Elephas maximus indicus: one gene and its partner. The protein of the gene in region 1 interacts with the protein of each later gene in a pairwise test. Links are inferred from orthologs where the notes say so. Each region holds a gene or a part of one and is shown on either strand. Other genes may lie near its edges.

What was found.
Region 2: the proteins of HOMER3 (region 1) and FRYL interact in binary tests that used the Homo sapiens proteins (3 or more experiments, as listed by UniProt). The two-hybrid records come from large-scale screens. The link is inferred for Elephas maximus indicus from reciprocal best matches to the Homo sapiens genes HOMER3 and FRYL.

What each region holds. Positions count from the first base shown.
Region 1 is NC_064821.1:38,794,609-38,801,888, forward strand, and holds the start of HOMER3 (homer protein homolog 3), read right to left. Parts: upstream 3,101-7,280; 5' UTR 2,996-3,100; intron 1,245-2,995; 5' UTR 1,189-1,244; coding exon 1,175-1,188; intron 1,100-1,174; coding exon 943-1,099; intron 748-942; coding exon 616-747; intron 1-615. UniProt on the Homo sapiens protein: Postsynaptic density scaffolding protein. Binds and cross-links cytoplasmic regions of GRM1, GRM5, ITPR1, DNM3, RYR1, RYR2, SHANK1 and SHANK3.
Region 2 is NC_064823.1:110,297,303-110,304,721, reverse strand, and holds the start of FRYL (protein furry homolog-like), read right to left. Parts: upstream 3,103-7,419; 5' UTR 3,076-3,102; intron 1-3,075. UniProt on the Homo sapiens protein: Plays a key role in maintaining the integrity of polarized cell extensions during morphogenesis, regulates the actin cytoskeleton and plays a key role in patterning sensory neuron dendritic fields by promoting avoidance between homologous dendrites as well as by limiting dendritic branching.

The sequences.
Region 1 (7,280 bases):
GGCGAGTCCACAATCACAGCAAGTGGGCAGCAGAGCTGGGACTTCAACCAGGGAAGCTGAAAGGCGTTCAAGGAAACCAAAACCTATTGCAGAAGAGTCGATTCTGACTCATGGTGACCCCATACATGACAGAGTAGTATTGCTCTGTAGGGTTTTCTTGGGTGTAATCTTTACAAAAGCAGGTTTCCAGGCCTTTCTTCCAAGGCACCACTGGGTGAATACAAACTGTCAACCTTTGAATTAGTGTTGTTGTTGTGTGCCGTCCGTTGATTCTGACTTATAGCAACCCTATAGAAGAGAGTACGACTGCCCCATAGGGTTTCCTAAACCATAATCTTAGGACTCTAAGATCTAACTAATCTCAGATTGCCAGGTCTTTCTCCCGAAGAGGTGCTGGTGGGTTTGAACCGCTGACCTTTCAGTTAGCAGCTGAGTGCTTAACCACTGCACAACCAGGGTTAGTCCAGTGCAAATCATCTGTACCATTCAGGGACCTGGAAGGTGTTCAGGCTGGTCCAATTCCATGTGCCCATTTGGAACTGTCCCAAGTGCCCACTTCACCCAGGAAAAGTCCCAGGCCCATCCTGTCCTCCCAGTCCCTTCCCACAGACCTACCTGGGTCAGATGCTGTTCAGATGCAAAGCCAAGGCCGTAGACTGTATTGGCACGACTGTCTGCCCATTGCCCGAACTTCTGGGAAGTTTTCGTGAAGGTCATGTTGGGGGTGACAGTGCTGTTGATGATGGCCTGGGGGGCAAAGTTCAAGGGACCGATAATAACAAACATGAAAAGCTCTGAGCATCACTTTGGAGGAGGGCTCGGAGGCTTTGCTCTGAGCTCTTTCAGGAGGGGAGACTGCAGCCTAGGAAGATGCAGGCTACCCCCTGCCAGGGGGCACACAGCAGGGACCCCTGGTGCTCCCTACCCCTAGATCCGCCTCACCTTGGCACCCCCGATGCTGATGATGCGGTAGACATTGCGGGTGGCATCGTAGAAGTAGGAGACGGTGAGGGCGTGCTTGCCCGCGGGGATCCAGTTCCGCTTGGTGGCTGGGTCAATCTGGAATACGTGAGCTCGTGTGCTGAAGATGGGCTGCTCCCTGGAGGAAGAGGGCATTCAGCGGGGTGGAGCTGCACAAGGGAAGGCTGGGGATCGGGGTAGAGGGGGTGCTCACCTGGTTGTGGACATTGGTCAGGCTGGGCTGGGCAGGCTCCAAGGGGTGGCCAGAGGAGGGGCAGGAGCTGCTGGTTCAAAGGGTTAAGCACTGGACTGCTAACCAAAAGGTTGGCAGTTCAAACCTACCCAGAGGCGCCTCAGAAATAAGGCCTGGCTATCTACTTCCAGGAAACCCTGGTGGCATAGTGGTTAAGAGCTACAGCTGCTAACCCAAAGCCTGGCAGTTCGAATCCACCAGACATTCTTTGGAAACCCTATGGGGCAGTTCTACTTTGTCCTATATTGTTGCTATGAGTCAGAATCGACCCAAGAGCAGTGGGTTTGGGTTTATTTCATATCTACTTCCAAAAGGTCACAGCCTTGAAAACTCTACGGAGCACAGTTGTACTCTGCACATGTGGGTCCCGTGCGTCAGAATCCACACAATGGCAACTAACAGTAACAACAACCCCATCTCAGGGAACCCCCACATCATGTGTGGCAGGAGACGCCTCTCTAGGGGAAGTCAGATGTAGTGGAGCCTGAGGGGCCCGGGGAGGACAGCAGGTCTCCTCTCAGCATTCCTGGTATCCCATCATGAACCCCCCACCATCCTGGTCACTGGAGATATCCTGTGAGCCCCCGCAATCCCAGGCTGAGGGGAAACTACTTTCCACCAGATGCATCCAGCACGTCTCAAACCAGGGTGTACCAGCAAAAAGTGGGCCAAGCCCAGGTGCCAAGTGGGAGGCCAGACCCTGCTGGACCCATGAGGGATCCCCAGCTCTGACCCTGGGGCAGTGGCACCACTAGGAGTCAGAGTCCAAATCCCCGGAGAGACCACCACTCCATCAGAAGGATAAGATGTAGCCACACAGGTCCACCCTAGGTGCAGGGTGGACTCCAGATAGAGGAGATTGGGCTCCCCAGCCTCTTAGTAGGTTCCTCTAGCCACCACCCTACAGAAGCCAGGACAAGCAGCCTGGAAGGAGACCTCCTGATGCCCCTCCTGCAGCTCCAAACCTGCAACCAGGGGGTCTGAGGGGACCTGGGAGAGGCCAAGGATGGGGAAGTTGCGGGGGGAGGGGAGCCTGACCCAGCGGTCTCTGTGGTCAGAGCGGGGGTGCCCCCCTCCACCCGTCATGGGCAGCTGCTGTCCCGGTCACAGGTCTGAAACCCGAGTCCCTGGGCTGGGGGAGGGGCGGCCGTTCTGGCCGGGGCTGGGGGCGGGTCCAGGGCCGGCCAAGTTGGGAAACGCCGGAGTCCTCTGAACTCAGGCGCATCCAGCGCGGTAGCTCTTGCCTTGACTTGTGGCGTTCAGGCAAAGTTACTCATGTCCGAGTCACGCACCTAGGACGCCAGCCGCCTGCGCCGGGCTCCCCGAGGGGCCCGACCCTGCCTGGTGACCGGGGATCCCCAATCCTGCCGCAGGAGAGGCCCCACTCCGCGCACCCCAGCCCAGGAGGCCTGGTATTCAGCTAGGACCGGGGTCCCCACTCGTGCCAGGAGCGGGGCACCCCGTGTGCGCCCTAACTTCAGAACGCGCCGACCTTGGAACTTCGGGGATCCCGGGGACAACCTGCTATTCTGAGTTTGGAACTTCGGGGACCTCCATCAGTCGGTGACCTAGAGTCCGGAACTTCAAGGACCCCGCGTCGCCCCCCAGTTTCGAGTCCGGAACTTAGAGGACCGCCGCGTTGCATCCCTCCATCCCGGGTCCAGAACTTCGCAGCCCCCTTCGCCATCTCTCGACCTCGACTTTGGGGACACCCTGCACCCCTCCCGACCCCGAAGCTTCACGGTCTTATGTCCCCACCCCGGTCGGTCTCGCGGGGCTCACCCTGCCGGGTCGGCCGCCGAGTGTCCGGGCGCGAGTCGGGTGCGGCCCGGCGGCACCAACTCCGCGCAGGGCCGGCCGGGCGCCGCTGCCTCGCTCCGGGCCTGCCCGCCGCCCGCGCCTTTGTCTGCGCGCCGCCGCCGCCTGCGCCGCCTCCGGTCCCATCGCAGCCGGTCCCGACGCGGCAGCCGCCCGCCCCGCCTCCCGGCCCGTGAGCTCCCCGCAGCGCCCCTGCTGGCGGCCCAGTGCGCCGGTAGGCAGGGGTGATGGGGGGAAACCCAGGGAGGGGGCGAGGAGCAGAGAGAGGAGCTGGGCGCGGGTCGGGGGTGGGACAGACAGACAGACGGCAACAGACATCTGGGATGACAAGGACACCCAGAGGTAGAGAGATAGGCAGAGACACAGAAGGACACAGAGGAAGAGACGAACAGAGACTGTGGCCTCCAGTCACCACTTGGGGGCCCACCCTAACCCTCCAAGTCACTGCTGCCAGCTGCCCTGGTTGCCCCGGGTCATGACCTTAGGCTTGGGATGGGGGTTAGGTCCCTCCCGGTCAGGTCCCCCCTGTCAGGTCACTCCATAAGGTCCTGAGGCAGGGGCAGGTCTACCCACCTTGGGGATGCCTGAGTGTTGCTGGGAAATTAAGACATCTGGACCAGAAGAAGTGGAAGGGGGACAAAGAGAGAGAGGCAAACAGTAGGCGCTTAATGGGGTTGGCCTGGGGCACCTGCTCAGGATCCTGCCTGCTCTTCCCCGAGCCCTGATCCCTCTGGCCTGGGCGTGTCTGCCTCTGATTCCCCAAAGACAACCCCATAAACTGGGGATCATGATAATTACTGCTGTTGTTATAGGGTCCGAGGTCCAGGGTGGAGGGACTGTCAGTGTCCAGGTGGCAGCCCTGGGTTTGCACTCTCTGAGCTCAAGGTGCCTCCCCCTTCCTGCAGCTGTGACAAGCAGGTCTTTTTGGGGTGGCTGAGCTAGCCCCAGCCTGCCGGTGGGGCTCACTGGTTAGTCCTGTTGCAAAGGGACATTTGGTGGGTGGGCAGAGGCACTGGACTCAGAGCAAGTCCTGGGTTCCCTGAAGCTCCAAACCTAACACGTGAGTTTTCCAACACCCTCAGAGGTTCTGACTTTTGATCTGCCAAGGCCTTGGAGTGCTCTCATCTCTTTTCCCTGTTTTTTTCATTTCCTTTCCCCAAGAACAATCAGGGGAGGTTACCTTCCCCCAAGCTGTGTGTTCAGCCTCATGGCATGGGTCGTGAAGGTAGCTGCCAGCTACCTTCAAAGACCGTTAGGTGAATAATTGAATACCAGGACTTGTTGCTTCTGAAGACATTCCCAGCCCAAGATCAGAATCCCCCTCCCTCTGGGCCTTTGCCCAAGCTGTTCCCTCCACCCAGAAGACCCTCCCTGTAGCATAATTCTGCCTGGTCCTTCCTGGCTCAACTCTACTGCCCCCTCCTCAGAGAAGCTTCTCTGAATATCCTGGGCTTGGAAGGGACCTTATTTTTCCTCCCAACCCACCATCCATTTCCTGTGATCTGAGCCAAGTTACCTGTTTATATCAGTGGGGCCCAGGTGTGAGTTTTCCTTGAGGACCAGTCCCCCCTGCAGCCCCTGCCTCACTCAGCACTGGAGGGACTGCTCACCGGAGTTGGGGAAACCGAGGTGCAAACTCTGTCTCCCCCAGCTGCTTCTAACTTCATGAGGCATCTGAACAAGCAAAGTACTTGGCTTGGCTCTCAGGCCTGATGCCACGAAAGGCGCGAGATCTGTGGGGAACAAAGAAAATACCGTCTGTTCTGTGCAAAGAGTGACTTTTTCCTTATTACCAAAAAAAATAATAAAATAAATAAATAAATGGGAAAGGTTCTGGCCAGGCTGAGGCTCCTTGAAGCCACTGAGGGTTTGCCAAGGGGCTGGCTGGCTGCAGAACCAGGACCACATGATCCATTCTGTGGGGGCAGTTGGGCGAGAGGCCCAGGCCGAAGTTGCTCCTTGTGTGGGTGTGGGCAGAAAGCAACAGTGTGACAAGGAGGAGGGAGTTACATGGCTTCCCTGGGCCTCCTCTAGGGGCTCCAGGAGTACCTGGAACTTGGTGTGCCTTGAGCAGCCCTAACCTGAAGGTGTCTCCACCAGGTCCACATGGAGGAAGTGGCTTTCTCAGTGTAGGCCTCAGTTTTCTCACTTGGAGAATGGGCTAATGCTTACAGGGCTCAGGGAGGAGGTAGTAGAGAGGATCCAGGTGAACCAGCAGCTCCTTACCCTTCTGTGGGTATAGATGGGCAGGGGGCTGCCCTGAATTGCTGACCCCACTTCAGCCTGAGCCCTCCTCTGCCTAAGCCTTGGGACCTCTCTTCCAACGGACTGGGCATGTCTTTGTGGGCCACCACCCCAGGGAGGATAACTAAAAGCTTTCCTTTCAGGCTGAGGAAAGGAGTGAGGGAATGAGTTTCCTGTCACAGGAGAAATCAAGCAGTGGCCAGACTAGTTTGCTTGGCTCTGTGGAAGTTGCCATTTGTAGAGTGACTTTTATGGGTCAGACCCTGTCCCTGCCTAGTTAAATCCAACCTAACCTTCAGACTGAAGCTAAATCATCTCTTTTCCCTGAAGAGGTTGCCTTCCTGACAGACAGGGGATGTGAGGGGATGTAACGCTTCCCCCAGGCCGTGTATACAACCTCATGGCTTGGTTCACAGTGGCCACTTTAAATCTGTTTACGGCATGATTTGGTTACTGTCTACCTCTTCCATGGCTTTGTCGCAACACCCAGATCAAGCCTGACCTGTAGCAGGACCTTCAGAAATGCTTGCCGAAGGGATTCCCAGGCCCTAACCTTGGACCTCAGGGGCCTCCAGAGTCCAGGGCCAGGGAGTGAATTGCAGCCCCGGTTCTTACCAACAGTGTGACCAGGAAGGAGTCACTCTCCCTTGCTGTGCCTCAGTTTCCCATCTGTAAAATGGATATAAGAATGATACCCTCTTTTGAAGCTTGCTATAAAGATCCAGTGAATTCTTATATGAAGAGGGCTGACTCTATGTGCTCAATGAATACTTGCTGTTTGAATCATTATATTCCTGGCTGTCTGGGTGTGCGGTTTTTGATCCGGAGCCAAGTTCTTAACATTTTCTCTTTCAGAGGTTGAAGGGCCCCAAGCAGATGTGAGCTCTAGAGGACAGGAAATTGGTCCAAGCCAAACCTGTTGCCGTTGAGTCAATTCTGACTCATGGTGACCTCATGTGTTACAGAGTAGAACTGAGCTCCATAGGATTTTCTTGGCTGTAATCTTTAGAGAAGCTAGTTGCCAGGCCTTTCTTCTGGGGTGCTGCAAGTTGGGTTAGAACCACCAACCTTTAGATTAGTAGACGAGGGCAAGCTGTTTGTGTCGTCCAGAGACCTAGTCTAAATCCTCTAGGATCCTCTAAATCTTTAGCTCCTAGCCCCTTGTGTGTCCCTCAAGGCTCTCCACTTTTCCTTCTCACCACCCTCCTAGGCACAGCCAGTTGGACCAGCCTTCAGACCGTCTCTTCCTGGCAAACACCTATTCATCCCTCAAAGCCCCACCTCCAATACCCTCTACTCACTCCTCTCCCTCCAGACCCTCTCCAGTCCTCTCTCTCCTTCTGGTCCACCCTGACCCCAGGGAGCTTGCAGTGTCTGTGCCCAGCTCTGACTCCCCCAGCCTGAGGGCTCCCCGAGGCTCAGACGGGACTGAGGCTTCCCTAGGACTTGGCTTCTTCCAGCACAGGGTAGACACATGGGGTTCAGGGTGGAGGAGAATTTGATGACTCACTAATGTTGGTGATTTTTTGTCACTTTATGGTGACCCCACCTTAAATTCAAATCCAACTCAACTTTGACAAACAGCCCCCAGCAAACAATGGAGCCAGGCCTGCTCAGGCCCAGCCACGAAGGGGCCGGGTATGCAGGGGACAGTCTAGAGTCTGGAGGCTTCCCAGATAAAGTGTGCTGGCCCTGGGCTGTGGACTTAAGGGCCCAACACCAGGGCAAGGCAGAGGGCGGGGAGGAAGGAGTCGAGACCACTTCAAGCACCAAGCCAGGCTCTGCAGCTCACTTCCGGAAAACCTAATTACCCTCATTTGCCACACGCGCTAATTACTTCGGGGGCGCCAGGTGGTGGGGCGGGGCTGTCCCACTTTGGGGAGGTAGGTCGGCCGATTATTTTTGGCTGCCTTGTCCTTGAAGGCTCCACCACCCTCCCATATGAAGGGCAGAAAGTGGGGCAAAGAGATCGTAGATGCTGGGGGATGTGGTGTTGGGTGGGTCT
Region 2 (7,419 bases), on another chromosome or scaffold:
CTTAAAAATATGGTATACATGCAGCCAGGGTTGGGAACCTAGTCTAGGCACATACCACAACAGAAAAGCAAGAACCAATATTATATTAGAAGCCAAAAGGAAGACAGCTTCATGTTGGGAGTGTTTAACAGTACCAAATGCTGCAGAGATATAAAAATAAGACGTGAAATGTATCCATTTAATTTATCATCTGAGAGGCATTAGTTACCTTCGGAGAAGAGATTCATAGGAGAAGTGAAGGTAGAAATGTAGTGGAAGGAATGAAGGGGAAGTTAGACACTGGAGATATGCAAACTAGGCTTTTTTATTTCTCCCAGAAATACAGATAATCATCTATTTTACAGAGAACTCAGATATTAAGCTGTGGAATTGACTTGAAGGCAACTAATAACAACAACTACATGAAAGGGATTGTGTTTTTTTTTTTTTTTTAATTTTTATCGTGCTTCAAGTGAAAGTTTACAAATCAAGTCAGTCTCTCATACAAAAATTTATATACACCTTGCTATATACTCCTAATTGCTCTCCCCTAATGAGACAGCCCAGTCTCTCCCTCCACTCTCTCTTTTCATGTCCATTTTGCCAGCTTCTGACCCCCTCTGCCCTCTCATCTCCCCTCCAGATAGGAGATGCCACCATAATCTCAAGTGTGTACTTGATCCAAGAAGCTCATTCTTCACCAGCATCTTTTTCTATTCCATTGTCCAGTCCAATCCCTGTCTGAAGAGTTGGCTTTGGGAATGGTTCCTGTCTCGGGCTAACAGAAGGACTGGGGGCCAAGAACACTGGGGACCTTCTAGTCTCAGTCAGATCATTAAGTCTTGTCTTTGTACAAGAATTTGAGGTCTGCATCCCACTGCTCCCCTGCTCCTTCAGGGGTTCTCTGTTGTGTTCCCTGTCAGGGCAGTCATCAGTTGTAGCCAGGCACCATCTAGTTCTTCTGGTCTCAGGCTGATGTAGTCTCTGATTTATGTGGCCCTTTCTGTCTCTTGGACTCATAATTACCTTGTGTCCTTGGCGTTCTTCATTCTCCTTTGATCCAGGTGGGTTGAGACCAATTGATGCATCTTAGATGGCCACTTGCTAGTGTTTAAGACCCCAGACACCACTCTCCAAAGTGGGAGATTGTGTTGGTTTTAATGTATGTCTCCAAATCCTCTGATACTCCTCTCCTGAAGTGGTGGAGTTTCATTCTCTTTCCCTTGAATGTGGCCTAGATTTAGTGACTCCCTTCTAACAAATATGAGATGGAGGAAGGGACAGTATGTAACTTCTGATGCTATGTCATAAAAGGCATTGCAGCTTCCTCCTCTCTCCTTCTTGGATCACTCACTCTGCAGAAGCCAGCTTCCTGGCCATGAGGACACTCAAGTAACCCTAAGGCAAAGAACTGAGGCCTCCTGCCAACAGCTATGTGAATAACGTTGTGGAAGTGGATCCTCCAGCCCCAATCAAGTCTTTGATTGTAGCCCCAGCCTACATCTTGACTGCAACCTCAGGAGACACCCTGCAACCTCATCAGAACCACACAGTTAAGCCATTCCCAAATTTCTGACCTACAAAAACCTTGAGATAATAAATGCGTGTTGTCTTAGGCTACTAAGTTTTGGAGTAATTTCTTACACAACATGGATATGTAATAAAGGGACTATCCAGATAGTAAACAATTTGCAGCTTTGTATGAATAATACTGTAACTTATTTTAGATATATTTGAAAGGAGACATACCATATAAGATTTATCAGAAACCTCCCTTATATCTTTTTTTCAAATCTGCATATATCCAAATTGGTTTAGTTTACAGCTACTTAGAAGAAATTAACAAAATTTGAATTTAAGTAGTGAGCAATTTTATTTCATTTTTTTATTATGTGGGTATGTGGATATATACATTTATATGCTGGCTTTATAAATTAATGATCTCTTTATAAAAGACATTCTTCGCAATGTTATCCATAATTTGTTATGATCCACACAGTCAAATGCCTCTGCATAGTCAATAAAACACAGGTAAACATCCTTCTGATATTCTCTGCTTTCAGCCAGGATCCAGGTGACATCAGCAATGATATCCCTGGCTCCACGTCCTCTTCTGAAACCGGCCTGAATTTCTGGCAGGTCCCCATCAATATACTGCTGCAGCCATTTTTGAATGATCTTCAGCAAAATTTTGCTTGCATATGATATTAATGATATTGTTCTATAATTTCTGCATTCGGTTGGATCACCTTTCTTGGGAATAGGCATAAATATGGTTCTCTTCCAGTCAGTTGTGAAGAACATTGCAAAGAATGGGAATTCCAGAACACTTGATTGGGCTCATGAGGAACCTTTACATAGATCAAGAGGCAGTTGTTCGGACAGAACAAGGAGATACTGATTGGTATAAAATCAGGAAAGGTGTGTGTCAGGGTTGTATTCTTTCACCATACCTATTCAATCTGTATGCTGAGCAAATAATACGAGAAACCGGACTATATGAAGAAGAATGGGGCATCAGGGTTGGAGGAAGAGTCATTAACAACCTGTGTTATACAGATGACACAACCTTGCTTGCTGAAAGTGAAGAGGACTTGAAGCACTTACTAATGAAGATCAGACCACAGCCTTCACTATGGATTACACGTCAACATAAAGAAAACAAAAATCCTCACAACTGGACCAATGAGCAACATCATGATAAATGGAGAAAAGATTGAAGTTGTCAAGGATTTCATTTGACCTGGATCCACAATCAACAGCCATGGAAGCAGCAGTCAAGAAATCAAAAGATGCATTGCATTGGGTAAATCTGCTGCAAAGGACCTCTTTAAAGTTTTGAAGAGCAAAGATGTCACCTTGAAGACTAAGGTGCACCGGACCCAAGCCATGGTATCTTCAATCGGATCATATGCATGTGAAAGCTGGACAATGAATAAGGAAGACTGAAGAAGAATGGACGCCTTTGAATTGTAGTATTGGCGAAGAATATTGAGTATACCATGGACTGCCAAAAGAACGAACAAATCTGTCCTAGAAGAAGTACAACCAGAATGCTCCTTAGAAGCAAGGATGGCAAGGCTGCATCTTACATACTTTGGACATGTTGTCAGGAGGGATCAGTCCCTGGAGAAGGACATCACATGCTTGGCAAAGTACAGGGTTGGCAGAAAAGAGGAAGACCCTCAAAGAGGTGGATTGACACAGTGGCTGCAACAGTGAGCTCAAGCATAACAACGATTGTAAGGATGGCTCAGAACAGGGCCGTATTTAGTTCTGTTGTGCATAGGGTTGCTGTGAGTCGGAACCAACCGGACAGCACCTAATAACAACAAAAACAAAAGACATATCCTCTTTCTTTCTTCTGAAATTAAAACCATCCTAATTTTATTCATTCATAGTTTCATGTCTGGCTTTAGCATTTTTTGATTTAAAATTGGGGAAACATTTTAAAGAAAATAATAAATTTTTTTTATTGCTTTCATTAAAACATTTTCTTTGTGCACTTAGGGAATGGACTTTCTATTTGGTTGGTCTTCATCCTTTCCATAAAGTTACTTTCATGGTTTTCTTTCTTTATCTTTTTTCTACTCAGGAAGATTCTACTTTTAATTTTTTTTTTTTTTTTTTGCAAGGTAAGTTTAAACTTTCAAATTGTGGCTTTGTTTATTTATCTTTTAATTAGACCACCGAGGTCCCACAGAATTAGATTGATTTGTTTAATTACACTCTTTGGTCAGCGCAGTATGATCACTGCCTCCCTCCCTCCTCCTTTTCCTTCTTCTTCCTTTTGTTGTTGCTGCTGTTGTTCTTCCTCTTATTTAAATAAATTAATTTTAATTACTTTTAATGCCCCATCCTCACTCCCAGATTCTTCTCTGCACAAGCCCCAAAGATTCTGCTTGAACTGGTTTGTGGTGGGGCCAGGGACTTGTTACTCTTTACCAGGTTGTTCTAAAATGTAACCAAGGTTGAGAACCAATGGTAGATCTTTGCTATCCAAAGTGTGATCCCAAGATCAGCAACATTCGTGTCACCTGTGAGTTTGTTACACATGCAGAATCTCAGTTCCCACCTTAGACCCACACAATAAGAATCCGCATTTTTAAATACCAAGGTGATTTGTAAGCACTTTAAAATTTTTGAAGCACTGACTTTAGAGCAAGGGCTAGATTCAATTCCTGGCTCTATAACTATTAGCTATGTGACCTTAAGTAAGTTAATCAACCTCCCCGTGCCTCAAATTCCTCATCTGTAAACTGGGGATAACAATAATACCTACTCGCAAAGCGTTCAACACTCAGCTACTAGCCAAAAGTTTGGCGGTTCAAACACATCCAGAGGCACATCAGAAGACGGGCCTGGTAATCTGCTTCTGAAAGGTCACAGCCTTGAAAATTCTATGGATCAGTTCTACTCAGTGCACATTGGGGCCACCATGAGTCTGAATTGACTCAACAGCAACTAATTACCACCACCACCATTTATAGGATCGTGAGGATCTAATACCACTGTGCAGTAAAGTGTTTATTCAAAACAATGCTGGACTCATAGTAAGTACACAGCAAATATTATTATTTGTTACCTTTCTTGCGTCTTCTCTTAAATATACTCCTTGGTCTCCTCTTCTATCCATTACTTTAATCACTGGATTTGCAGTTGCCGCTTGGTAGCCCAAGAAGAGTTAACTGGGGTCTTTTAAAAATATATAGATTCCTCAGTCTCATCTCCAAAGATTCTTATTCCGTAGGTTAGGGAGGGTCTCCAGAGAATCTGTATTTTTAAAATAGAAGGTGATTTGATGCTCTAAGTCCTTAGACTGGGAAACATTGCTTTAAACTCTGATGTTTCCCAGGGTTCATTCTACTCCTCCACTGCTGTGACATCAGCTCCACATATGGCCTGATGACTCCCTCTCAGATATTTTTATAAGCTTGAGACCAATATATTAACTGTCCACTACAACTCTCCACTTGGGCATGCCCAAAATTCAGCATATATTGTCTCCACCCTCTGACAACTTTTTCCTCCTCCACTATTCTCCATGTCAGTTGGTGATTTCACCTCTTAATGCTGTTATCAAAGCCAGAAACCTGGGAGTCATTTTTGTTCTCTTCCTCTCTAGCAGCCTTATTCGGTTGATAATCATATCCTTTAAAAAATTATTGTGGTAATATATGTATCAAAATGTTTGCCATTTTAGCCATTTTAAAGTGTCCAATTCTTAATTCAGTGACATTAATGACCATGTTGTGCTACGATTATCACTATGCATTGTCCAAAGTTTTTCATCACTCCAAACAGAAACTCAGCACCCCCTCAGCAGTAACTCCCCATTTCCCTCTTCTCCCAGCCTCTGGTAACATTTAATAGACTTTTATCTCTATGCAGTTACCTATTCTAGATATTTTATTTATTAGACATTTTATTTCTTAGAAATTTTGTTTATCCATTCATCTTTTGATGGACACTTAGGTTGTTTCCACTTTTGGCTATTACGAATAATGCTGTAGTAAACATTGGTGTACAAGAATCTATTTGAGTCCCTGTTTTAAAGTCTTTTGGGTATATACCTAAGAGTGGAATTGTTGGATCATGCGGTAGTTCTATGTTTAACTTTTTGAGGAACCGCCAATGAGCAGAGGTTGGGGATGGGAGAGAAGAAAATGAAAGGTTTAAATTTTAAACAGGATGATGTAGAAATGCTTATTGAGAAGATGACATTTCATCCAAGATCTGAAGTAGATGAGAGTGAATCATAAAGATATATGAGGGCACTCAGACATCTCACACTGAGGAAGAAATATTTTCTTAGCTTTTAAGGTGGATGACTGTTTGGCATGTTTGAGAAAATGTGAGAACAGTATGATTGGAGTATAATTGGTGGAGGAAACAGTAGTAGAAGTCCAGAGGGGAGACGGAGAAAGAGCACGGGGCCTTGTACACCATTGTAAAGACTTTGGATTTTATTGGACTGAGAAGGGAAGCCATTGGAGGGTTCTGAGCAAAGGCCTGAAGATCTGACTTGGGTTTTAACAAGATCACTTTTGCAGCCATGTTAAGAGTAAACTGAAGTGAGGCAGAAAGACTAGTTAGGGGATTATTGTAATAACTGCACTAAGAGATGATGACTTGGACCAAGATGGCATTGGTGGACATACTGAGAAAGGATCAGATTATGGATATGCTTTGAAGATAGACTTAGTAGGATTTACCAAAAGATTATATGGAGTGTGTGAGAGAAAGAGAAGAGTCAAGGATACCTCCAAGGATTTAATATAATAAACTGGAAACCTAGATAAACTGAGATGAAGAAGATTGTGGGAAGAAATTAATTTTTCTCTGTTTTGAGGTTGGAGATCAAGAATTTGGTTTTGGGTATGTAAAGTTTGAAAAGCCGATTAGATATTCAAGTAGGCAGATATGACCCTAGAGTTCCGGAGAGAGGTCTGGACTGGAAAACTAAACTTGAGAGTTAGCAGAGTATAGATGGTATTTAAAGCCAAAAGAATGGACAAAATTACAAAGGAGTGACTGCAGAGAAGATGCCCGAGGACTGAGTCAGTGGCACCCCAAAGTTTAAAAGTCAGAGAGACGAAGATGAACCAGCAATAAAGACTGAGAAATAGTGGGGATGAAAAGAAAAGGGGGATATTTTGGTCAAGTAAAAGAAGGATTGAGAACTGAACAATAGATAAATAACATAAAGATCATGGAAACAATTACAAAGGCATTTGCAGTGGATAAACTCATTGTCATGGAGTCAATTCCAACTCACAGTGACCCTATAGGACAGAGTAGAACTGTCCCTCAGGATTTCCAAGGCTGTAAATCTTTATGGGAGCACACTGCCACATCTTCACCCGCAGAACAGCTGGTAGATTCGAACTATCGAACTTTCAGTTAGCAGCTGAGGGCTTAACCACTTCATGGCTCCTTTTGCAGTGGATAGTTAAGGGTAAAAGGCATGCTTGAAGTGGGTCGCAGAGAGACTGGGAGAAGAGGAATTGGAGACAGGAAGTATAGACAGTTCTTTCAAGGAGTTTTGCAATGGAAGAGAACATAAATGGAGATGTGAGGTCAAGAAGTTTTGGGGTTGTTAAAGGCGCAAGAATTATAGTTTGTTTTATAAGCTGATGACGGTAAAATGATGGGACAATGAATGATGTGGGAGAGAGCTGGTAGAACTTCGGGAAGGATGTCCTTGAGTAAGTGAAAGGAGGTAAGATCTGCTTCACAGGTGGAGGGCTGGCCTTGCATAGGAGGAAAGACAGATGCAGTAAGCAGACAGATGTTGGGGTAAAACATCTAGAGTTTCAGCAAAACAGTCACCTGGATGTGGCTTCTGATTGCTTCTATTAAAGACCATTTCAAAGACTACCATAATTTTTTTTCCTATTATACATTGACTTTTCATTTGTTAAACGTTTTTAAAAGAGC